3 linked regions of the Lepisosteus oculatus genome follow. The protein of the gene in region 2 purifies or fractionates together with the protein of the main gene of each other region. This does not show direct contact. Links are inferred from orthologs where the notes say so. Each region holds a gene or a part of one and is shown on either strand. Other genes may lie near its edges.

Region 1 (7,649 bases), on a different chromosome or scaffold from region 2:
GGCAGAGCAGGAACAGGGGCTACAGGCCGTCGTGTCTGCTTCGAGATAGAGATTGGAGCTGCTGTTGTTGTTGTTGTTGTTTTTGCAAGCGTGCATTTGACTCTTATTGCGCTTTGAAATGCACTCATCAGTGCCGATTCTTTCCAACCCCGACATATACAAATAGCGCCGTAGTTCCCCTTTGACAGTTAACAGATGAGTACTGCTCTGTAGCAGACTGTCAAGAGGTGCGCTATAGCAAAAATGATTGATTGATTGATTGATTGATTGATTCCCCATGAAAGTGCTCATCAACTGTCTTCAGAAATGGTTCAGTGGCGAGCCATAAGATCTGCCGGACTGGGGCTCTCCGGAGAGGAGCCATAAGATCTGCCGGACTGGGGCTCTCCGGAGAGGAGCCATAAGATCTGCCTTAAAGCGGCATCAAGTCTGTGCGGCGTCAGCGGTGTTTACAAACGTGCACCGGGGGCAACTTCTCTCTGGCTGGTGTGCAGGGGAGTCCTGTCGCGGTGCGTGTTGCTGGGCAGAACACCAGAGACAGGAGAGGAGGGGGTGTGTTGAGTGAACAACTTCACAGCGGGGCCAACGACGCGCCAGTAAAACAAACAAATAAATACATCCTGAAAACACAGGAACATCCAGCGCCTAGTTTGCGACGCTCCGGCCTGTGATCTCATTTGAAATGACCTACATTTGACGCTGGTTCGTGCCTTGCAATCTCCCACGAATGACACCCACTTGCTCGGGAAGGGCTCCCGCATGCCGGCACGGCAGCGACGCGTCTCCCGACGCGAAACAGCAAAACGCAAAACAAAACCTCCCCTTTTTAAAGCTCAAATCCTTACCGTTCTGCGCTTTCGGAAGGGAATATCTGTCTTTCAGAGGGGAAGGAGACAACAGCTGCTGCTGTTGACGACCAAGGAGACCGAGGAGGTTTGCGGATTATGGTTTTTTTTACAGACCGAGGAACACAAAGTACCACAACTCTGCCGCTCCGGTCCTCTCCAAGGAGTCGGCAACCACCACGATCGCAACGGATTCACGCCGCGGAGCCAAACCTACCGATGCCTCATCTCCACAACGACTCCTTTGTCTGGCCGCCGCTGTTCACCCAAGCGATGGGAGATCTGCAAGCCCAGTTCTGCGGGTACAGAAAGGGCGATCCGACACGATAGGCGGTGCGCAGGGACACAGCAGCGCCTCTCAGCTGGGATTTGAACCCACGACCGCCCGTACCGTGGGAGCCCGGTACCCGTCCAGCCCCAGTTTCTCAGCGGAGACCCCCGGCTAGCTTAACGGGAGGATACAGCGGTCTCCACAACAAACAGTTATTTGACAAGAGCCTGATCGCACATCCCACCGACCGAAATCGGGGGGGGGCACTTCACTGGGACCCCTACATCTCAGCCCGGGGTGGCCAAGCGCCAACTGCTCTAGAGGTTATCGATTATTTTGGGCGTCGCTGCATAACTGCTGTTGAGGGCTCGATCGGCGGTGAACGACACGACACGACCCGACTGCGCCGTCCGGTTGAGGATTAGCGAGATCCTAGCGCAGTGAAACAGCTGAACTGTGCTGGGGCGGGGGGGTTGAGAGAGAGAGAGATCATGCCTGCGTCTGCAAGCCGGGGTCTCAGCATTGCAATACGCGAGGACAACGGGTGGGGGTTCAAAGGACTGTAGCCGGAGGCCAGATCTCCCTGCCTCCATCAGAGCACCACCCTGTTTTAACAGGACACCGTCTTCAAGCCCCGGTCAGAAACCAGGAGCGGTTTCTGACACACCGGCAAGCCCGATGAGGAAGGGGGTTACAACAAGAACCACAGTTTCTATTGCTCTTGTGTGGGTAGCGTGTGGGGGGTACCCACTGGACCCCCCCACTCCCACTCCCACTCCCACTCCCACCCCGTTTCATTCCAGGTCGCGTTTCCGGCCCGAGGAAGACGAGCGGGACTCAAAAGACACAAGAAAAAAAGTCAACAACGCGTTTCAGACCCCCCTCTTCCTCTCTCTCTCTCTCGCACGTACACACACACACAAACACAAACACGCGTTTTGTTTTGTAATCCCGGGTCGACGGGAGACGAAAACAGACACACAAAAAAATAAACTACCGATAGGAGGAGGACCGACCCCTCAGCCCAGCTCACCGGGGCCTGACAGCGGCCGGATTGGCGCACCCAGGCACCCCCGACACCGGGGCAGGCACGAAAGCAGACAGGAAACCTGCTCACCTGCGGCCCAGAGCGCCGGACACCCCGACTTCCCCCGCCGGCTGCCCCTTTAACAGCACTTCCTGTGTAAACAGACTGCAGACCGGGCACTGGACGCTGCCATTTTTAGTCCCAAGCCAGCGGTCGTTTCACAGCCTCCACGTCTGGGCTCCGCGTCTCACCCGAGGAGTTAAGGTTTTTTCTTCTTCTTTCTTTTCGCTGCTACCGCTGTCCTGAGAAATACCCGTTTTTTTTAAAGATATTTTCTTTCTTTCTGACGCTTCACAACCTACAACAACACCGCCACCGCCGCCGCCTCCTCCTCCTCCTCTGTACGTCAGGCTGTGGTTCAAGACTCGGCGGCCGATACCAACTGCGAGGGACCAACCCCGCATCGGGACAAAAAAAAAAACAAAAGCGGGGAAAAAAAAAAACCCGTGATGGAAAAACCAGCTTATTTCAGTTATACACCAGTCGCAGTAATCTCGACGGTGTGCGACTTGTGTCGTTTGGTTAAGAGATCAAACAAAGCCATTTTACCAAGCAGAGAAGCTCCCCCCCGCCTCTCCAGCTGGGGGGAAAGTGGTTTTGGCCTCAGTTTGACAGAAGACAAGATGAAGGAAATCCGGCGGCGCGACGCTTTGCTAATACTGCACATAAATAAAACTGTGCGTTTTACCGGGCTCATAACCGGAACCAGAAGGAGCGATTTCACTTCGGAACCAAGTAGACTTGCTTTTTTAAAATAAGTATTTATTGGATAGATGCTTTGCTTGCAAATTGGGCATGTAGTTGTAGGCGGACATGCAGTCAATTGTTAATAAGCTGTAGCTTGTGCGATTCGTTATTCATTTTTAGTCTTTGACAAAAAAGGTAGCATCGACGACCGTGTATAGTACACTCTGTTATCGTTTTTTTTTTGTTCAGAGCTCCCTCCCATGGGTGAATGCTGAATTACAACCCTTTCGTACTGTCCGCGAGAAAATCCCTGAGTAATAACCGTGCAATTTGTAAAAAAACACTTTGAATAATTAAAAAAGCTTCTTTCATGTTGGACAGAAACACAGATTAAGAGCTACGGCGTCCCGTCCACCCTGACGTCTGTGAAAGCAGCCCCATGTATGATCTCATTTGATAAATGAATAAAAGGCATTTCCATAAATTACGATTGTCATACGTAAAGCTTTTGCAAGTTCAGTAAATATTAAAACATAAGGTTATTTCTCACCGGTCTGCTTTAGGATAATCTAAGTATAAAATTTCATCCGAGGACAGTGATGTGAAAAGGCTTCAACACACAAGGTAAGCAGGGTGAATAATGGCTTCACACCTTCAGGTTTCTGGGTCAATTTTGGTCTTGAGTGTCTTTGTGGAGTCTGCACGTTCCCCGAGTTCATGTAGGTATTTTGAATAAAACTCTTTCCTGCTCTGGAAGAAGTTCGAATCAGAGATTCTTGATGGGATGTCAAACAGAGATGGACAAGGAAAGTAATCTGGGTACATCCCATTGCCCGACTTTCTCTGTGGAAAACCGAAAGCAGTTCTGTTCATTTGTCCACTCTGTGCTTAAAGCCAACTCAAAGGATCACTTCAGATGCCACAGTGAAGCAGGGACCCTGAGCCACAAAGTGCAGAAAATAGCAGCTAATCTGGACTGAGAGTAGTAGCAGCCTCTTTCCCCAAAGAGACTTTGGCATTGTAACTAACCTTCAGATCACACAGCTGAAATGTGGCCTCTAATGCATGACATTATGAAGTGGACTAGAGGCCTCTAGCAAATAAACACCTTGATCAGCACTTATCCTTTCTTTTGGCTCTCCGTCATGTGAGGGCCTGCTAGTTCTTCATGGGCAAAGAAACGTGTACTCTATGCCCATATCATGCAAGTATAATAATAAACTTTATTTTATATAGCACCTTTAAAAGGGGATTCTCAAAGTGCTTTACAGTTAGAAAAAAGTAAAAAGCACACAATGAGAGGAGACAGCAGAGTGGCACAATGACAAAAAGGCTTTGGAATACAATAGCAAAGCAAAGAGGCAGAGAGAAGCAGTTGAATAAAAGCCCTCCTAAAGAAGAAGGTTTTGAGTCAGGATTTGAAAGTGGTCTGGGAAGGTGACTCTTTGATATCCTTATAGATTGAATTCCCGAGCTCTGGGGTGCAGCAGGAGAAGCCAGGTTGCCCGTAGTATGTAGATGGGCTTGGGGGTCAGAATTGGATGAATGAAGATCGTGATATGGGGAGTAGGATGCTAGTACTGAGGTATATATATTTACTGTCAACTATATACGGTTTAAATCCCGCTCCGTGGAAAAGTCTTGGACACCTTAGATTTGATTAAGGGTTACAATATATAAGCGTTATGTACACCAAAAGTTAACTCAATGACTCCACTATTGTTTTCTACTATTGTAACAGCTTTTAAGTAATTATAAGTTTTTTTAAATGTTTTATTTCGCATTGTTTGGAATAAAAAAAAAACCTGATCATAACAACTCAAGGTAAATTTCACATGGACTGCCAATGTCATTATTTTAGTCATCGCTCAGGCCCAGTGGACTTATTGTCAAATGTTCCTCATCATTTGCATAATTGTTTCATTCTACTCCTCCACAAAGCTGAAAGTTTTCTTTTTGTACAACAAAATGCAGACTGCTACAATGTCAAGATAAAAATTGCCATAGAGTTGTTTCTGAATATAGGAGGAAAAACGTCAAATGAAACAAGCAGAACAATGCAAGATGTCCAAGATTTTCCGAGAACAGTGTTTATTTTTACCTCACTATCCAAACAAATGATCCAAAAATAATGGGCTTATCCATTTCTAAAACCATCAAGTAGCATGCACATGCAAGCTGGAAGCAAGCGATCCAAGCTATTTTTACAGCTGAAACTCAAGTTAAATTATCAACAATAATGGAAATTTAGAGGTAGTGAGAAACAACAGAAACTCGTGTGACACAGATGTAATTACCAAAGTCTACCACAAGAGGGAGATGTAGTCTTGGTCTCTAAGACCCACTTCACCATCACCTGGGTGATGTGGGTCAGCCATTCAACACCAGCAGCCCCGCTGCTCAGCAGCAGAGCAGGGGGAGGAGTGAGAAACTGCTTCACCAGCTGGACAAAGACGGAACTACAATAACGCCGGACCACACGAGCCCAGAGTGGAATTTAGACAGGATGCTACCATTAACACCCTTACAATGGCATGCCATCTTCATTGACCAAGAAGTCAAGATATCATTTTAACTTCTGTTGGAAATGATGGCAACGCTTACGGCACAGTGCCCCCCGGTAAACATACTGGGGCGCTGTTTCGCAAAGTGTGGGTTAGAGGTCAGAGTGCCACCGATTAGTCCTCCAACACAATTTATAATAGCAACGGCCTAGTTTCCGTTGGAGGTCTCCAGAACTGATGAGCCTGCTTCTCTCTGCCCTGACTGACAGTGAGAGTCTAACCCAAGGACCGACGGAAGTCTTAGGAGAATCTGGCTTCACACAGATGATACCAGTGCCCTAACAACCCCATGCATTTAGATCATACATTCTCTTCCTGGAGTGGAGTGTCTTTAGGCTGGCCACTGGTAGCCTAACCGATACTTTAACCTCCAGATCCAGCTACTCTGTTACAGGAAGGGTCTGGCTGGATCACGGAGATGTCAGTTAAAAATACAGGCACGCAGCTGTCCCTAGGGATCTGCACGTCCCCACAGCCCTGTTTCAGCCAGAACAGGAGCAAGCAGCTGAAGAGCACTCCTGAGGATCAATCAGTGACAAGCCGCGATGCAGTAAGGGGACATCAGGGGAAAAGGGCACTGAGTTTAGACAGAAGGCAAGTCCTTTAAAAACGTTTTCTGTTTTTCTTCAGGCTGGCTTGGGAATGCGATTCAAGCTCCCACTCCAGGGAGAAATTCAAACACAGCACAACTCTGAAGTTTGGACGTGACACAAGGATGTCCAACAGCAAGCAGCTACTCTGTGATCTCAATCAAGTGTCAGGTCCTCATGTTTCCACAGCGCGTGACCTTCATTGCAGAAGACGGCAAACCTTTAACCTGTCTTGGTTCCGACAGTTCGTACCTCATATCTTGTGTAACAAAGAAAGATGAACCTGTTGGGGAGAGAGTCTGTGGTTTATGCTTCTTTTTGCCAGTGTAACGCTATCTGGGGTCAGCAGGGCTCTTGTTCACTCATTAACGTGTGACTTCTCCCTGTATAAACACATTCTTGCAGATACACTGTTTGCATTAAATAGACTGTATGCCAGCTAAATATGTACTGTATAGCAAAACTAGAGGCAGGCTATCTTAGGTTATCTGAGCCACTTTATTTTGACTGCAGAAAGAGGAACCTCCCTCCCTTCTCCTTTGTCATTTATTGCCCATGTTTCCGTGGAAACACCTGTTCCTTGGACAAACAGAGGCCTGCATGTGTGTTTTCTTTAAGCTCAACTCAGCTGACCTCCAACCCCCATGTTGGGGAAAAATGTGAAAACATGCAAAAAAAAATAGCGGGACTGCAACAAAGGAAGCTGAGATAGCGATGCTAGAACCACCCCCACACACACACACAAACACAGGCAGGGAGGAACTACCAGTATTTTTACAGTAAACGTACTTTTATGCACAGTTAACCCTTGAGAAAAACCAAAGCCCTTTAACCTGTTTTTTTCACATTGTGCACTGCAAAAAAAAACAAAAAAACGCAACAACCTTCCTTGCTAGTTCCTTCCTGTTTTCATGAAAAAATGTATATCCCATTTGTGGAACTGCACCAGAACGTCTATTTTTTGCTTGGACATTACGCTAATGATTATAACCCAATGACTTCACACAGGTGGGGCAGGGAAGCAGAACCTTATTTCAGGTCGGAAATGAAGTGACCTGCAGCTCCTCTTTCCTCTGTCCTGTCTGGGGGACAAGAGGGAGTTCAGGGTTTTAAGATGGCAGGGTTCGGGTGATCAGTAATTAAGGGTTATGTGCCGTGTCGGAGTCCGAACGTTTCTATCAGCCTTTAAGCAATACTAGGTATGAATGCTGATGGCCCACGTATGAAACAAGGCTATTCTGGCTTCCCAAGAGCAGTGAATAATATTGCCTTAACTGTACTTGTCACACATTTCTCCTCTACGCTTTGTCCTGCTCTGTCCTGGTGGAAGTCAAAGAGGACCAGTAGATTAGCCTGCTTTTAGATACCCTGCTCATCTATCTATAGTCTCCCACGGCATCAGCACCACTTCCAAGTCCTCAGGTCAATTCCATTTGGCCAGCTGATCACAGGCAGGTGCTCTGAGCTCTTCAGCAGTTGGGTAGAGCTTACAGGCACAAAACCAAAATGGCACCCTGCCCACCCTCCAATAGACCAGCAGCATATACCAAAATACAGTACTAACCCGTTCCTCTGGAGTCTCCCCCATCTCTCCCTCAGAAGGCT
Region 2 (7,715 bases):
CAGGACGCATTAAATCACCGCAGTGAGGCTGCCCTCTAGCCAAGCCTTAAAGTCTTAGAGATGATGACTTGATTACAGATCCCATGATGAGAAACAGAAAATACTACCGAGTCAAAGTACAGCACGGCTGTAAGGCAGACCTTTACCCCAGAACTGGCTACGCCTTAACATGAAGCTTTCTGCAAACTAAGCAATTAAGGGATTAAACCAAAGGGGAGCCTTACATATTCCAAGTCTCACTATAGCGCAGGAGCCCACCACGTGCTGTCAACTAAACAGGAATTCCAGCTGAAACACCAACTCGGTTACAACCGCTGCCTCAAAGATGCGCTGGGGCGCTCCGCGGAGGGTTTCAGCACACCGCCGCGCTACACGGGGAGCAGCCACTGCAAGAGCACAGAGCACCCCGGGACTCTCTCGGGGAGCCTGGCTGGAGCACCCCAACAAAGCACAGCAGTGTGCACCTGTCCCTTACTGGGCTCCGCAGCCCTGCTCACACCCAGGGTCAGCCCAGCACGAGCGGAGCTGACTCCACGCTGAAGGGCAGGAAGACTGAGGGAGGCTCACGGCGTCTCGCCCTCCTCGGAGCCTCGAGTCTCATGGAGACGTTCACCGGGAGCGAGCGCCAGCGGCCGGCCAGGAGCAGGGGGCGGCTTGGTCTCGTTTCCACTGCGGATAACAAGGAGCTGTCCCGGGAATCCCAGTGGAGGGGAAATGAGGACGGACCCCCGACTGCTCCCAGTTAAACACATGGCCACTCCCATAAAGCTGACATTGCAAGCAACAGCTGGGACACGTACACAAAGCACAATCACTCATCGCATGCCAAATATAGATATTTTTTCCCCATTTTCAAAGACATTTTAAACTCCTGCGAGCACCTTCTAGGCTCCCTTATCGATCCTGCTTCACCGGCCCCTCAGACAAAGCAGCGCGCACAAGCTTTCCCACCCAGCGCTCGGTGAGCAAAGACTGACGACAGAAACCGCTACCCTCACCCCTTATCAGGCTCCGCAACACGCAAAGCTGCTCATAGGATTATAGCTACGATGCCGGGGGGGGCAAAGTCCCAACCACGAATCACACAACTTGCGAACTGAAATGAGACTGGTTTACAGACAGAAAAGCTCCAGGAGCCCCGCAACCCCGCGCTGGTCGCTGCCCGAGGACTCTGGGGGACCCCTGCGTCTGCTGATTCTCGTTCCAACGGGCCGTTCATTACTAGGGCTAACCGCTACCAGTCATTGATCGTCTAAGTCAACTTTTTTTCTGCATCCAGACCTCGATTTCACCAGGAGCGAGCAGCTGGAAGACAGGCTGTTCTGGGGCAGGGCCTGTGCCTGTCGATGCCCTGCGCTCCTATTCACAGGCTCGTGCGTTTCAAGTTCCTGTTTGAGGCCTCTTTGCCAAATTTGTCTTCAGCTCTTAAAAAGCTGTAATTGTCCTGAACGCTGATGGAATTTGGGTTTCAGGACTGTGTGAGCTGAACCAGGACCAAGTGGACTTAAACAGAAGGAAAAACACTGACTGACTGGAGGGGGGGGTGTCCGTCTATCATCAAGTGATGAACTATTAATAGTTTAGTCAGAAATAAATGAGCAATGTATAAGTTAGCACATCGGGATCGGACTGCCCGAAGGCCCGGGTGCTGAGGTTGCGCTTGTGTAGCTGGTGACGTCCGGAACAGAAAACTAATCCAGCAAGCGCAACAGTTTAGCACTGGTGATGAAAGGCCCAGCTGGGTCAAAAACCAGCAGAGCACCGAGGCACTCCAGTACTAGGACCGGGACCCACAGCAGAGCAGAGCGGTCACCGTCCCTCACAGCGAGGCCGGCCAGCCCCGCCGCCTCACCTTGCCCTCGCTCGGCAGCGACTTCACCGGAGCCCCGAAACCACACTGCTCCACCTGCGCTACTGCTAGCGCTACACTAACGCTGAGCGTGCTCGGGTGATTGATTTTAAATCGTTCATATTGATTATTTCAGCAAGACCGCACACAGACAAACTTTGCTCTCGCTCAGAACGACCTGTTATAAATCATAACTACCGGCGTTCAGTCGTCGCTGCTGTGAGAACGGTAACAACTGTACCGCCCCCAGCAGAGTCCGCTTCGGTACTTTGACTCCGCTCGATCGCTGCTCCTTGGCAGTAAGGATCTCTTACAACACACGCTCCAGCGATCGCCAGCAGGGCTACAGCCCGACTCCTGAACACACTTGGCAAAGGCAGTAGGCGCTAGACCGCTCTCTTTCTCACGTCCGTTCAGACCGGTACCTGTACCGGTGCCGGCTGCATGGCTGCGCAGGTGTTTCACGCTGGCCGGTGTCCCGCCTGCTCCAGCCTTTTTTTTTTTTAAATAAAAGTTCCCCAAACAGCGGGAAACATCCATCAGGTCCCAGTGCTGAGCTCACACAGCGCCTGGACCCCGACTCCTGATCCGCTCCAGACTTGTCAAAAAGTGGGCGTCACCCGTTTCAGCCGCCTGCCTAGACACTATTGACACACCGCAGGAGACAGAGACATAGCCAAGAGACAGCAACTATCCGTACAGCAGGCGGTTGGAGCATAAGTTCCGTTTGTTTCTGACTGGCATCACCTATGCCCATAAAACACCCATCAGGCTTCATCCACGACAGGCACCGCACTCGGGTTTGTGGCGGAGGATCATGACAGACATGACCGACCTGTTTTGGACCTCATAAATAACCACGATAAACGTACCCCCCCTCCCCTGCCCGGTACCCAGGTCTAACTGTAACTGTGGCCCCCGGCTCACACCGACGGGGGCGGCCGGAGGACGGCTCGGTCCGGCTGCAGGTGGGCCGCGTTTCTAGAGAGAGTGGCGGAGGGTAAGACTCACGGACAGCACGCTGATACGGAGAGGGGCCTCCAGCAGGCACGCCATATCTCTTCCCCCTGACGAGCGCCCCAACCGGAGCAGCACTTTCCACACGCTGGGCCTCCCGGAAAAAAAAGCGCTTCCAGTTCAGGGCGAGGGTAGGGGGGAGTACGCAGGGGGCAGAAAGGGGGTTAACTACCCGTCGAGACCATGTCTCGGGTCCCCGTTTTTTTTTTAAATCGAAAACCCTCCCTGCTCGTTGCGATTATCGAAAGTTAAATTGTAGATTAAGGAGGAATTAGTTTGTGTTTTTTTTTCCAGAGAAGCGCAGTTGAATTTGCGTTTCGCTTTGTCGGATTCCACACTGCGGAGTCTCGAACTAGTTAATCAGCGAGAAATCCCAATCAAGGTCAGAGAGATGAGAACAGGTATTTATTTCGAAGAAAAATACAGATTTACTAATTGATTAATTTTACGTTTTTTAATTCTTACAAGCGTTGTCAATACCATTTTGTTTCTTTGACATAAATGGTTATTGTGTTCTCAGGTCATTTAGAAACCAAGAGTATAATGCATGTGCCCTTAATCACAATAATGCCTCCTTATTAGTAGTATAGTAGCAGCGTTTTGAATCAGGACCAGATTGGCTCAGCTATTGATATTAATGTAATCTGTCAGAGCGGTCACGACATAGCAGACCTACCGGACGATTACTCTACCCTTTCAAACTAAGGAACAGTCTACGGTACAGTCCCTCCGGGAGGCAGCAGTGTGGAAAGTGCAACCTTCGGATACGGTGGATATATTTACTCCACCAGCGGGCCGCTCTCAGGGCGCATGTGCGAATGTTTTGAGTGCGTAGCGGCTGGGAGCTTCGGGTCTGAGGTGCTATTATTTTGTGTGGCGGGGGATTCCTGACCGGCTGGACGTATCTGAAGTCCGGTTTGGCGGCTGCCTCAGCGCTGATCCTACACCAGGTGGGTGCGGGTTGTGTGAGGGCGCCCTGAGAGGGGCCCAGGTGCGCACCGCCGGCAGCTTCAGTGCAGTGTGTTAACAGTGTCGGTAGATCGCAGCGTTAAGAGGAATCGGCTATATCAGCCCTCGTGTGAATTGAATGTTATGACGTTTGACCACATCTTCTGTTTACCAGCGATTGCCGATTGAGTCAACTTGACGGGGCTTCGGTTTAGCACGCTTTTCGCCCCGGAATCGTGAAGGCGTGTGCGACAGAGTGACAGCGGCTCTCCGGCCGGGAGAAGCGCGCTGTTTGAAGGGGTACCGTGTCGAGCAGCGAACACGTCATGTGGGCTAGGAGCTGGTTCCTCTGAAGGGTGAAGTGCTGTTTGCACACAGGCCACGAGGATGCACCCAAAAAGGGGGAAAAAAAGGCTATGTCGAATGTAGACAACTTATTTGGGAGTTGGGGACGGCATATCTATACAGTATATACGAGACTTCACGTACTGGATACCGTAGGTGGCGAATGCCAGCTCCAGTGTTTCTATCAGCGTGATGCAGAAATTAAATCTCAGAGGAACTCGACTCTTGACGTGGAAAAGTGATTTTTTTTTCTCTTTCTGGTTTTCTTGTGAAGACGAGGTTTAGAGCAGGCCGGCGGCCTCCCCCTGTCGTCCCTCCCCTGCGCTCCCGCAGCGCCGAGGGCGGCCCTGTGTCCTCGCCGTGCCCGGGAAGACCGCTCGCTGGCCGCGGGGGTGCTTTCCGATGCGGGGCTGACGGCGCCGGGGAGAGAGAGAGAGTGAGCTTGCCTGTGTCGGGGAGCGCGACGCGGCCCCGGCCCGCGCGATGAAGATCGCCGTGGAAGGCTGTTGCCATGGAGAGCTGGATAAGATCTACGAGACCATCGGCTACCTGGAGCGCCGTGAGGGGGTGACGGTGGACCTGCTGCTCTGCTGCGGGGACTTCCAGGCCGTGCGCAATCAGGGGGACCTGAAGTGCATGGCTGTGCCCCCCAAGTACAGGAACATGGAGGGCTTCTACAGGTCAGCCCCCCTCATGCATGCTTGCCAACGTGCTGTAGTGTGTGTGTGTGTGTGTGTGTGTCTAGACCCAGGCAGCAAGGCAAGACAGATGCTGCATTCATCTTGCACTCCCTGGAACATGAAACTGAGCTCCTGACTCTCTGTGGTCATTAAAAATCCCAGGGTGTTGCTCGAAAAGAGTAGGGGAGTAACCCCGGTGTCCTGGCCAAATTTCCCCCTGGTCTTTACCCATCATGGCCTCCTCATAATCCCCGTCTCTGAGCTGGCTTCATCACTCTGCTCTCCTCCCCACTGAGAGCTGGTGTGTGAGGAGAGTACTGGCGCATCATCCAGGTGGGGCTGCACACTGGTGGGGGTGGAGGGGATCCCCATTACCTGTGAAGCACTTTGAGTGCAGTGTCCAGAAAAGCGCTATAGAAGTGTAGGGATATTAATAAGGAGATCATTCTGTAGGATACCGAGTGGAAGGCAGGGATGGATCCAGAAGGCGATGAGATTTGTAACGGGACTCTTTCTCCTTGCTGCGCCTCTCTCCCTGTCTCTCAGGTATTACTCCGGAGAGAAGAAAGCCCCCATCCTCACCATCTTCATCGGGGGGAACCACGAGGCCTCCAATCACCTGCAGGAGCTGCCGTACGGGGGCTGGGTGGCCCCCAACATCTATTATCTAGGCAAGTCTGGGCTGTGTTTCGTGGCACACTGCACATGGGCTGCCACACCCCCCCTGCACTGCACTGTGTTAATACCACTGGGGCGTCTGCACTGTTAAACCGCTGTGGCTGAAGGATCTGCATCTACCAGTGTTATTACGCATTTATCACTGTGGGGTTTGGACTGTGGTCTGTTAAAGCACCTGTACTGTGCTGACCGGCTTGCACTGTATCTTCCAGGGCTGTTACACACAGCTTCAGTGTTACTGTGCGACTGTGTCTCTTTGTCTCTTGCACTCTGAATTTGTCACGGGGGTCCTGATCTGCGTGTCGTGAAAGCCCAGATTGGGTGTGGAAGCCCAGGTGCCTGATGGTGCGTGGTGGCTGATCGACTCCCCTCTATCCACAGGCTACGCAGGAGTGGTCCAGTACAGAGGGCTTCGGATCGGGGGGCTGTCGGGAATCTTCAAGTCGCACGACTACCGGAAAGGTGAGCCCTCCCCACCTGCTACCGGGGGCTTTCCCAGTAGAGCCCATCTCACGGAAGGAAATGGAGTTGATTCGGTCCTTCATCCGGGAAGTTTCAATCTGACACCCCACCCCATGTGCTGTCTGAGCTGTGCCAGGGTTCTGGGTTGTGTCACAAATCGGAGAGGGCTATTCGACTCCTCCGGCTCGTTTTGGTCATTAGTAGCTTATTGATCTGAAGCTCTCCTCCAGATGTTTCTCGAAAGAAGCCAGACTTCTGGGCTTTAACAACTCCGTGCCTCTTTGTGTTGCAGGTCACTACGAGTTCCCACCATACAACCAGCAGACTCTGCGCAGCGCCTACCACGTCCGAAATATCGAAGTCTTCAAGCTCAAACAGGTGCCTGGGCTGGGGCAGCCTTTCTGAGCCGAGCTCAGCCGAGCCGAGCCCCAGCAGGCTGGAGGGGGGTGAACTGTGGGGAGCTGATTGCTGCTCCTGCTTTGTTAGCTGCATGGCTGGGCCAGCACGTGCTGGAAAAGGCACCAGACATCAGACGGGGGTGGGTGGGAGGGAGGGGGGCTTCACTCTTTTAAACTCATGCACCCCCATCGGGTGACCTGCCTCACCCCATTACACCCCCCTGTAGCGTCTCCCTCAGCCTTTCTGCCGGCTCGCGAACAGGGGTGCGAACAAACCTCCGGCCTCTCCCACCAGCAGGAGGGCGTGCTTACCCTCTGCGCTCTCTTTCCCGTGAACTCTGCTGCAGATCCGGGGGCCCATCGACATCTTCCTGTCCCACGACTGGCCGCGCGGCATCTACCACTACGGCAGCACCGAGCAGCTGCTGCGCAAGAAGAAGTTCCTGCGGTCGGAGGTGAAGTCGAACTCGCTGGGGAGCCCCGCGGCGGCCGAGCTCCTGGCCCAGCTGCAGCCCAGCTACTGGTTCTCTGCGCACCTGCACGTCAAGTTCGCCGCTCTGATGCAGCACCAGGTCAGGGCACGCCAGGGCGGGGGGGGCGGGGGGTGACTCCCTTCATGCAGGGTCACGGGCGCCGTGGCTCTGTCCTGCTCCGGGCGTCGATCCAGGCGACCCCTCTCGGACCATCTTGCACAGGAAACTAAGGCGCTACAGTCTTTGTAGTCGCCTGCATAGGAGATTCACGGAGCAGAGGAACGTCAAGCAAGCATGGTACAATCCTGGAAGAGGTTGACAGAGTCTGCCCAAATACATGGCAACACAGCACAGGGGCACCAGTGGAAGTTATGGGGAGGTGTATTTCAGTACGTCTATATTTGCGTTTGGGAACAGGGAGCACACTTCTTTACGCAGAGCGGGGTGGGAGTGGGCAACAAGCTGCCCTAACTAGGCCCTTGAAGCCAAATCCCTGAGGACATGTAGGACTCGGCTGGAAGGGGTGCTGGGTTTCAGTGAGTTACTGGCAGCCAAGCCGGTGTGAGCGAGGCTTCGGGGAGCAGAGGGGCTACAGGTTTGCACCTGGAGCAGGGCATCGCCCTCGGCTCTGGCTGGGCAGTGTGTGCGTGCGTGCGTGCCTGCGTGCCTGCGTGCGTGCGTGTGTTCTCCGCCTGCCCCAAGCTGTACTGGAGAAGATGTGCATCACTCTCAGCGTGGGGACAAGCTCTGGGAAAACGTCCCCAGAAGGGTGGTCGCTCCTGACAGACGGGCAGCGGGGGGACGGTCTCGCGGCCTCAGTAATCCCCATACTGGGGCTGCGCGGTGGCTCGTCGTGTAGCGTATT
Region 3 (7,881 bases), on a different chromosome or scaffold from region 2:
AAAACACAAGAAAGCTTAGCAGTTTGAAGGGAAATAAAAACAGCGACCACGTCGTACCCCCACATTGCTTAATGGCAAAAAAGCCAACTTGAGGAAGAGCACCCACCATCAGCGAGTGACTCCTCTCCTCTGAAGCGGCACGAAGCCAGGTAGTGCCGCTTTTTCCACAGCTCCTCACAATGGAGGGGAACGAAGGGGGAGCCGTCCCTTTAAGACGAGCTCATGTGCATATCAATGTCACGCGGCCACTTCGGAGCAGCGGCCCGGCAGGAGACAAGTGCCGTGGGGCTGGCCTGCCTGCCAGGCCCGCGGGGCCTCCGGGGGCCCAGGCCTGCGACCTCCCGGCGCCCCTCTGCACCGAGAGGGGAGACGACCATCTTGCAGATGGGTGAGCAATGACTTCATGATGCCAGCGATCACACTCTGTTCACAGGTTTCAAAATGGTGCATGCATGTTCTCTGGATTCTTTTTTAAATATAAAGCAGAGCTATTTATAGGTTGCCTAATCTGAACGCAGGGCTGCGGCTGATGGAGTAATTCTGTGTCATACTACTATTTCCACCCCTGTTCACCCCGCAGTCTAATACAATTGTACAAGTGTTCAGACTACAGCTGCAGGTTCCACATTGGGGTAAATATTTCATTGAAGGTGTTGAGCTAAAATGACACCTCTAAGTTTCGGAAAACTGACTTCCCCCATTCTAAATAAATAAGTTTAACTGCAATTATTCCAGTTAAAGTGTCTTTCCCCCCCCCAGTTTCTGTATAATTAGGAAAAATATCCTCATTCTCTCACTGGACCTTTGCACTGTGAACACTGATTCTTCCACTCAGGCAAAAAAAAAAAAGCTCATTTCAGAAAGGCCCCCCGGCTCACAGCCAGGGCCTTCACTGAGTTCAGTGTTGACTTACCGTACACCTCTCTGACTCTGATCTGTCTCGGCCAAGACCCTCATTACAGATCTTACAAATCACTCCTTCCAAACAAAACATGCCGTCTAGAAACTTTGCTCTGTCCTTGAAACAAAAAAAAACCCTTAGTCTACATTGCCTAAGCTCTGTTGGCTGAATACAATTTGGTCTTTTAAAAGAACACATCAGACGAATTTGCAGGGAACTGATGGTATTCCACAGGCAATACAGAACACAGCCCATGTGGGACACGAGATCTAATTGACAGCAGGAGTCAGTTTCATTCCAATGTCAGGAGCTTTGTGAAATTATAACCCATAGCAACAGGGGGCACCTAACGTTACCAGAAGCAACCGTGGTTGGATCAGTCATCATTCTGTTTGAGCAAAGTGTTTTCATTTTGGATTTCAATCAATTTCAAATAAAGCAATTTCAATCAGTCGACCACGATCTCTCCATTTCCCCCAGCCCAGTCCGATACATTGAAATCAATCCTCACTAGAATGGAAACCTAATAATTCTTGTGCATGGTACCCACACGGCTGCTCTCATCAGGATCCACACTGAAGAGAACCCCGTGATTCTAAATCCACAACTGCTCAAAAAAAAGGGGGGTGATTCAGAGAACTCTGGGGGTACACATAGGACCGATAGCTATGTCTGGTAAAGCCCTCACTGCTAACCAGATTTCTGAAGAAGCATATCTTTGGTGGCGTGTCATTTGCTTATTCATTTTACTAAACCTGCCCTTTGACAGAAAAACTCCACACAACAGGTCTGCCACTCCTTTTTCAAAACCCTGGGGGAGCCGTGGTTCAGAGACACAACCACGGCCCGGACCCCACTAGAACCAGGAGGACGAGACCGAGCCCTTCTTTCACAATAAACACATCCTGTTTCCGCTCTCGGGGCGGAAAGGGTTAATTCATTGTAATTCAAGGCCCGAATTCAACAACGAGCTGATCTCTTTTTCGGTCCTCGTCGCTCACCACACGGCTCACGGAATCCGCAATAATCTCGCAAAAAGGAATACCAGATCATTGCGGATTCCTGTGTCGTCTTTGGTAGGTGCCTCGTCCATTTAAGTGGCCAGAGTTGGCATCTATATCACTGTGCCAGTGGAGCAGAATACAGCTACCTGCCCTGGGTAACTGACACCTACCCTGCGTCCATATTTCCTAAAACTGGCTCATAATCAGTATCGCAAACTGCTGACAGTCACGGCAAGTGATGTCATTCTTTTCCGTTTAATGCAATTATTTTCTAAGAGGGCAGGGAAAGATTGAGGGGGGGGGGATTTCTCGGGTCACCCCCCTTGCTTCTTGGACCTTATTAAAATTCGGGGATTTGTAACAAAAAGTGGGAGGGGTGGGCAGAAGCGTAGGACATTAGCACCACGAAGAATAAAATAAAAACGGCACCCGACACAGTTCAGCTGCAAGGCTGAGACGAGTCGCTGCCCAGCATCTTATCTGGTCGTTATGAGCAAAAACGAAATCGGGGGCAGCTCGGCCAGGGCGAGGGTCTTCTAACCCGAGGAACCCCAGACACTGTCATCATTAACTGTCAGCGCTTCGGGGATTTCTTTTTGTGAGACAAAACGGAGAGGGCACAGAAAACAGATCAAAACAGACCAGGGAGACTGCGTCCGCATAATCGCATACAGTAGACAACGGCTCAGCGAGCCTTCGGGAGAGTGCTGGCCCGGATTAAGAAGGCCAGTGCTAGCATTTCGGCATGTCTCTACCTTTGTAATGCACCCGGAGATTGTTCTGTGAGAGCCCGATGTAGCTGTATTTATCCTTGGAGCTCCAAGATCGAGGTAAAGGAGTCTCTTCCTCATTCACGGCCGGGTAAAGCTGCTTCAGTCGCTCGTTGAGCTCTCGCTCCTGGTAGCTGAAAGCAGGGTCCCCCCCTTGCAAGCTCCCCGCTCCGAGCTCCGCCATTTTTTTGGCTTTTAATGTTTTGTTTTGCTTTTTTTCTACTGTATTGTGTCAATCCGGAGGAAGAGGGAGAGAGTGAAATAGACTAGAGACAGCGGTGCGATATCCCCGGATAACCAACGCTCTAGAATCGGGCTATCGGCGGTGTGCTAGGGAGTTGTAGTTCGGGAGATCGTCTTGTACGACGGGTATCGACGAGCACAAAGTTCGATAATGACTACAACTCCCACAAATACCTGCGGGAGTGCACCCGTGGACTTCACGCGTGAGGAGGAGGAAAAACTGTAGTTCTACAGACTTGCGGATTCCAAACTGGTTGAACGAGATCGTTCTTCAGATTTTCCTACAAACCCCACAAGCCCCTGTAGCAGCTCATAGGGTTCTCGGGAAATGTAGTTTTTTAAAGGCTGGCATTTCTTTATCGAGTGATTGCGTTCCTTAATAAAGAACTACATATACCAGGATCAACGCCACATGAGCTGGAGTGTTTTGAACATTTTTCAAGCAACAGATTGGGATGTTTTTTACACGTAACTAGAATATTTGACCCGATAAAAGTGAAAAAAATGCTCGTTACTGCTATGTATTAATTCAGTGCAGACGGAGGGCTTTACGTTTTACAAATGTTTCTAAAGACGTGTGGTGCTTTGATTTTTTTAAACTGTTTGCAACTTCCAAAAATATATATTCAAAAACGACCACATTCTTTAATTTCCCTTTAAATTACGTAAACCAAATCTTGTACTAGGGACATAACGGTATTTAAATCTAAAACCACGACTGTACGGAGATAAACAGCTTTTAAATAATAATAACTGTGTTTTAATGTCCAAACTTTTGGATCTATAGCAGGAAAAATTAGGAAACACATATTTGTTTATTTGCTTTGCTGAGGACATCCCTTTAAGGTCCTGCCGGGAGGGGTCCTTCGTCTCCAAGGCAACGCAGTGTACACAGAGAGCGCCAGTGGGTCAGGACTATCCCAGCCGGCGATACAGGGATTAATCTCATGTTCGGCATGTCGGTGCAGAAAGACTGCAAGTTGCCTCCTTTGCCTGTGTCAGAAAGACAAGGGTCAGTTTTGAAAAATACAGTTACAGTTAAATACAGTTTCTAATATATATATATATTTTCCAAATGAACCTGCAGTATGCAGCAGACCGCAATGGCTAACAAGTAACGTATTGCGTGGTTTCTATTTTTCTTTACAAGTACATCTCTATCTCAGTAAAGCGCACAATGATTTTACTGAATATGAACAATAAGATACATTTCAGATAACTGAGTTCTGTCTTTCCTGACTTGAGAAAATGACGGCATGTATGGGGACAGCGACAGAGTAAATACACCACCAATAGAAAGCCTGCTATTTAAAGGCTAGTCTTGGGAGATCACGACCTCGTTGTTTTATAGATTGCCTGTAAACTGTCCTGGAGGGAGCGAGAAGCCTGTCAGGAAGAGCCGACAGCAAAGCGATGAGATCGGAAGCCTTTTCACCCTGAAGACAGCACACGTGAGTAACACTAGTAGTACTGATACTACAACACTTACTGCTTTTGTAGCCACTCTCTTGCTGTTTTTACTACTAATACTACTGTACAACCAGTACTACTGCTCTTACTACTGCGGTTACTATTCTACAGCTACTTGTACTACATCTACAGCTACTACATTACTGCTACTCTACTAGTAAATCACTAGTCTCACTGCTGCTGTTGCTAATGTACTACTGCTCCTGTACCACTACTCTTGCTGCTGCTATTTCTAAGGCCAGATGAAAAAGGGCAAAATTGAAGTGATTGGAATCTTAATTATGCAATTTTATAGACTATATGCTTTGGTATGTTGCACTTATGTATTTCTGAATCTGAAATGAAAAAAATGAATGTGACGAATGCAATGCATATTCTTACAGTTCATTTATTTAAACTCTATTAAGTACGTTTTTTTGAAAATAATTAACAAAATTGTTACAATTGCTGAATAAGTGTTAACAATACCATTGGAATGGTAAACAACATCCAAAACAGTATCATACAAAGTAATTAACATTACTAGAAATGGAGTATTGATTAGTAAGTTTACGTATACTGTATGTCCTTGATTTTTTTGTGTGCTGTCAAGTTGTGTAATAAATGATCCTGTTCTCTAATTCTCCAGCATTCTCCAGCCACTGGCTTCCTCTCCACATGGCCTGCCCACGTGTCCTCACAGATAGTCCACCAAGGACACAGACAGCCACCCGGCAGTGAGAACAGAATTCGTGGGTGAGCAGATTTTATTTCCTCCAGACTCTCCCAGCTTCCCAGTTTCATCTAAGAGTCTCTCTCAATCAAGGGGGCGTGAGACTGTTCTGGGTTTTTGGTCTGATTTTTCTGTATAATGAAACTGTTTTTAATAATAGTGTTGTACAGAGTGTACAATTCACCAGAAGTGGCTGATTTTCTTAAGGACACTGGATTCAACAGTAATAAATGTGTCCAAAGATCTCAGACTTCCCTATGGCCCCTGCATTTCCATCGTCTCCCACAGATGGACGGATGTCCGTGGGATTCAGTAAAGTCTGGGCAGAATTCCAGATGTAAATGCCAATGGAGTGGTCTGGGAATCGCCTCGAGAATTCTGTTGTTTTCTGTCTGTCCTGCCTGTGTGCAGATGTGGCGAGGAGCTCTCGGGTTTGGTCTCCAAGCCACGTTTCCTGGAACAGCTGGAGAGCTACTTGCGGAGGGAGCTGCAGGCGCTGGACTCCAGCCAGCTCGACGCACCGGAGCGCAGGCTGCAGGTCGGCACCCACAGGAACGCTCTCCCATTGTCCACGTTATATAGCCCTGGCAGTGTCCGCGGGGGCCCCTGAGTAAATAACATCATCTGCACCTTTCCTTGAACTCTGATCCCTAAATCCTCTCCCGGACTCTCGGCTCCTTGCAACAGCAGCCCTCACACTATGCCCCCTGCCCCCTGAGCAGCACCCCTGCAGGGCTCAGGAGAATCTACCGTTGAGTTCTGTTTCTGTTTACTATACAGGCATACCAGGAAGTGTTTCAGTATTTCATCGAAGATTTAAAAACTTACAAGCCACTGCTTTCTGCCATCAAGAATGAATATGAGATTGCATTAGGTATGTAACAGCTGCAGTATTTCAGCACATATAGTAACAGTTATTGATATAATAAATAATGCCCTTTTTATTGTTACAGCTACATGAACTTTTGCAGTGCATTTAGTTGTGGTGGTGCAATCACATTTTTTGTCTTTTTTTTCTGGTGTTAATTTCAAATATGAACTTCAGATCCTCTTTGTTTACCAAATCTGTTTCCTGAAAGCATGGCCTTGTATTTCTTTGCATGCCCAGGAAGACTCCAGCATGAAAGATCACACAATCAGGAAAGTAGACAGACGCACTGGTGGGAGTCCAGTTTAGAATGGCGCTACACCTGTATGAAACAACAGAAAAGATCCATGAAGTAATGGCCAATTTCCAGAACGTACTAGTGGAACACTTCGTTTCTACTTATGCATGTTTTTTTTTTTCAACAAAAAACATGAGAAGCAAATAATGAAATACAAATGACTGGGGAAGAGATAGAGTGATCTTGCTGTGTGCTAACCCCAGCCCATCTGAGAGAGCAGATCCGTACCCTGGAGCCCCTGAAGGGGATGCTGGTGGTGGTGTCAGAGCAGTGTGACCAGCGGGTCCTAGCCCTGCGTGAGGAGGAGAGAGCGGAGGTCAAGGCCCTCAAACAGGAGAAGAGACATTTGCTGATGATCATCGACAATATGAATGAGAGCAAGAACGCACTACAAGCACAGGTAAAAAAAAGGCTCTGGGTGTGCAGAGATAGGGAGATATTGTGGTACACATATTATGTGGAATAAATAAAAAACTATATATTTATCATCTCTGTTTATGTAAGTAATATAAAATATATGAAGTAAAAAAATGATTTAATTGTATTTTCCAGCAGCCTCATACCCAGACATCAGGTAATGGAATCACCTTTTCAGATTTCAGTTTTGCATGTTTAAACATTGTTTGCATCAAATGTCTATCAGACTTTTAAAAATCAAAATTAGTATGATAGGCTGTGCAAGTGACACAGAAGATCTAAAATGTTCATTTTAGACATACCAAAGTAGTATCTACTCTAAATGTTTTCTGGTTTTGCTCTTGCTGTGCGCAAGTGTGTTTGTGTGTTCCAGCCCTAAGGCAGTCAGTCTGTGCCTTTGGATTTCAGGACTGGCTTATGTATTTATAATATTAACGCTAGGAATCCTGTGGAGGTGCTTCAGCCATTTATTTAGAGGGACTCACATTAGAGATTACACAAACAAGGCCCGCTTTTAAGGAGGCATCACAAATTTATGGATTGCTTTTCAATGTGGACACAGAAGAGAGAATGAGCCTACTGCACAAGGGCTTGATCATGAACAGCTTTACTGATGAGTTTTATCTGAAAACAGCCTAAAGCTGCAGATATGGCTCGCCTTTTGGATTACAGTGCCCAAATTGATATGGGTTAGATTAGTCAGCTAATGTAAGGTTAGCTGCACTTTTTCATTCACCCAAACCTATATGATTTACCCCAGCTTTCTGCTTTTCTGTATTATTTAATATACAATATTGTAACGCATTTCACAAGCAATATTTCTGAATATAACACTTTTAAACAATTTAGCAATTTGTGGAAGAAGCAATAAGCTTCTTTTGCTGCCTTAAGTTTTGTAAACGTACTTCTGGGTGTCAGTTTCTTGAAGGCATGATAAATGCCCGACCCTGCTTACACTTCCGAGTCAGCTTCACTCCCTTTCTGTACAGGTGTCCCGGCTGCAGGAGGACCTGGCAGCTCAGTACCTGCTGTATCGGGAGGAGAGTGATGCCCGCAAGCTCCTGGTGAACGACATCAGCAACATGAGGTACCTGCAAGAAGAGCACAAGAGCCCTGAGCAAGAAGGTACTTAGTTCAGGAGCCCGCATCATCTCTGCTTCTTTCAGTTCCCCAGAGCACCGGGGCAGCTTGCTCCAAA

What was found. Proteins that work in one complex are often made in the same cells at the same time.
Region 1: the proteins of armc8 (region 2) and E3 ubiquitin-protein transferase RMND5B purify together in Homo sapiens (affinity purification with mass spectrometry; 4 studies listed by BioGRID and IntAct, with this or other methods). This does not show direct contact. The link is inferred for Lepisosteus oculatus from reciprocal best matches to the Homo sapiens genes ARMC8 and RMND5B.
Region 3: the proteins of armc8 (region 2) and ranbp10 purify together in Homo sapiens (affinity purification with mass spectrometry; 5 studies listed by BioGRID and IntAct, with this or other methods). This does not show direct contact. The link is inferred for Lepisosteus oculatus from reciprocal best matches to the Homo sapiens genes ARMC8 and RANBP10.

What each region holds. Positions count from the first base shown.
Region 1 is NC_090706.1:38,806,870-38,814,518, forward strand, and holds the start of E3 ubiquitin-protein transferase RMND5B, read right to left. Parts: upstream 3,005-7,649; 5' UTR 2,234-3,004; intron 2,137-2,233; exon of another isoform or gene 2,114-2,136; intron 2,076-2,113; exon of another isoform or gene 1,063-2,075; intron 39-1,062; 5' UTR 1-38. UniProt on the Homo sapiens protein: Core component of the CTLH E3 ubiquitin-protein ligase complex that selectively accepts ubiquitin from UBE2H and mediates ubiquitination and subsequent proteasomal degradation of the transcription factor HBP1.
Region 2 is NC_090707.1:7,393,383-7,401,097, reverse strand, and holds the start of armc8 (armadillo repeat-containing protein 8), read right to left. Parts: upstream 3,006-7,715; 5' UTR 2,906-3,005; coding exon 2,861-2,905; intron 2,798-2,860; exon of another isoform or gene 2,779-2,797; intron 2,311-2,778; exon of another isoform or gene 2,296-2,310; coding exon of another isoform or gene 2,281-2,295; intron 1-2,280. Other genes in the region: dbr1 (lariat debranching enzyme), read left to right, coding at 4,643-4,839, 5,386-5,510, 5,899-5,979, 6,272-6,357, 6,725-6,949. UniProt on the Homo sapiens protein: Component of the CTLH E3 ubiquitin-protein ligase complex that selectively accepts ubiquitin from UBE2H and mediates ubiquitination and subsequent proteasomal degradation of the transcription factor HBP1.
Region 3 is NC_090715.1:3,934,874-3,942,754, forward strand, and holds the start of ranbp10 (ran-binding protein 10), read right to left. Parts: upstream 3,005-7,881; 5' UTR 2,860-3,004; coding exon 2,661-2,859; intron 389-2,660; coding exon of another isoform or gene 180-388; exon of another isoform or gene 165-179; intron 1-164. Other genes in the region: tsnaxip1 (translin-associated factor X-interacting protein 1), read left to right, coding at 180-388, 4,270-4,369, 5,017-5,123, 5,512-5,638, 5,881-5,974, 6,470-6,666, 7,673-7,808. UniProt on the Homo sapiens protein: May act as an adapter protein to couple membrane receptors to intracellular signaling pathways.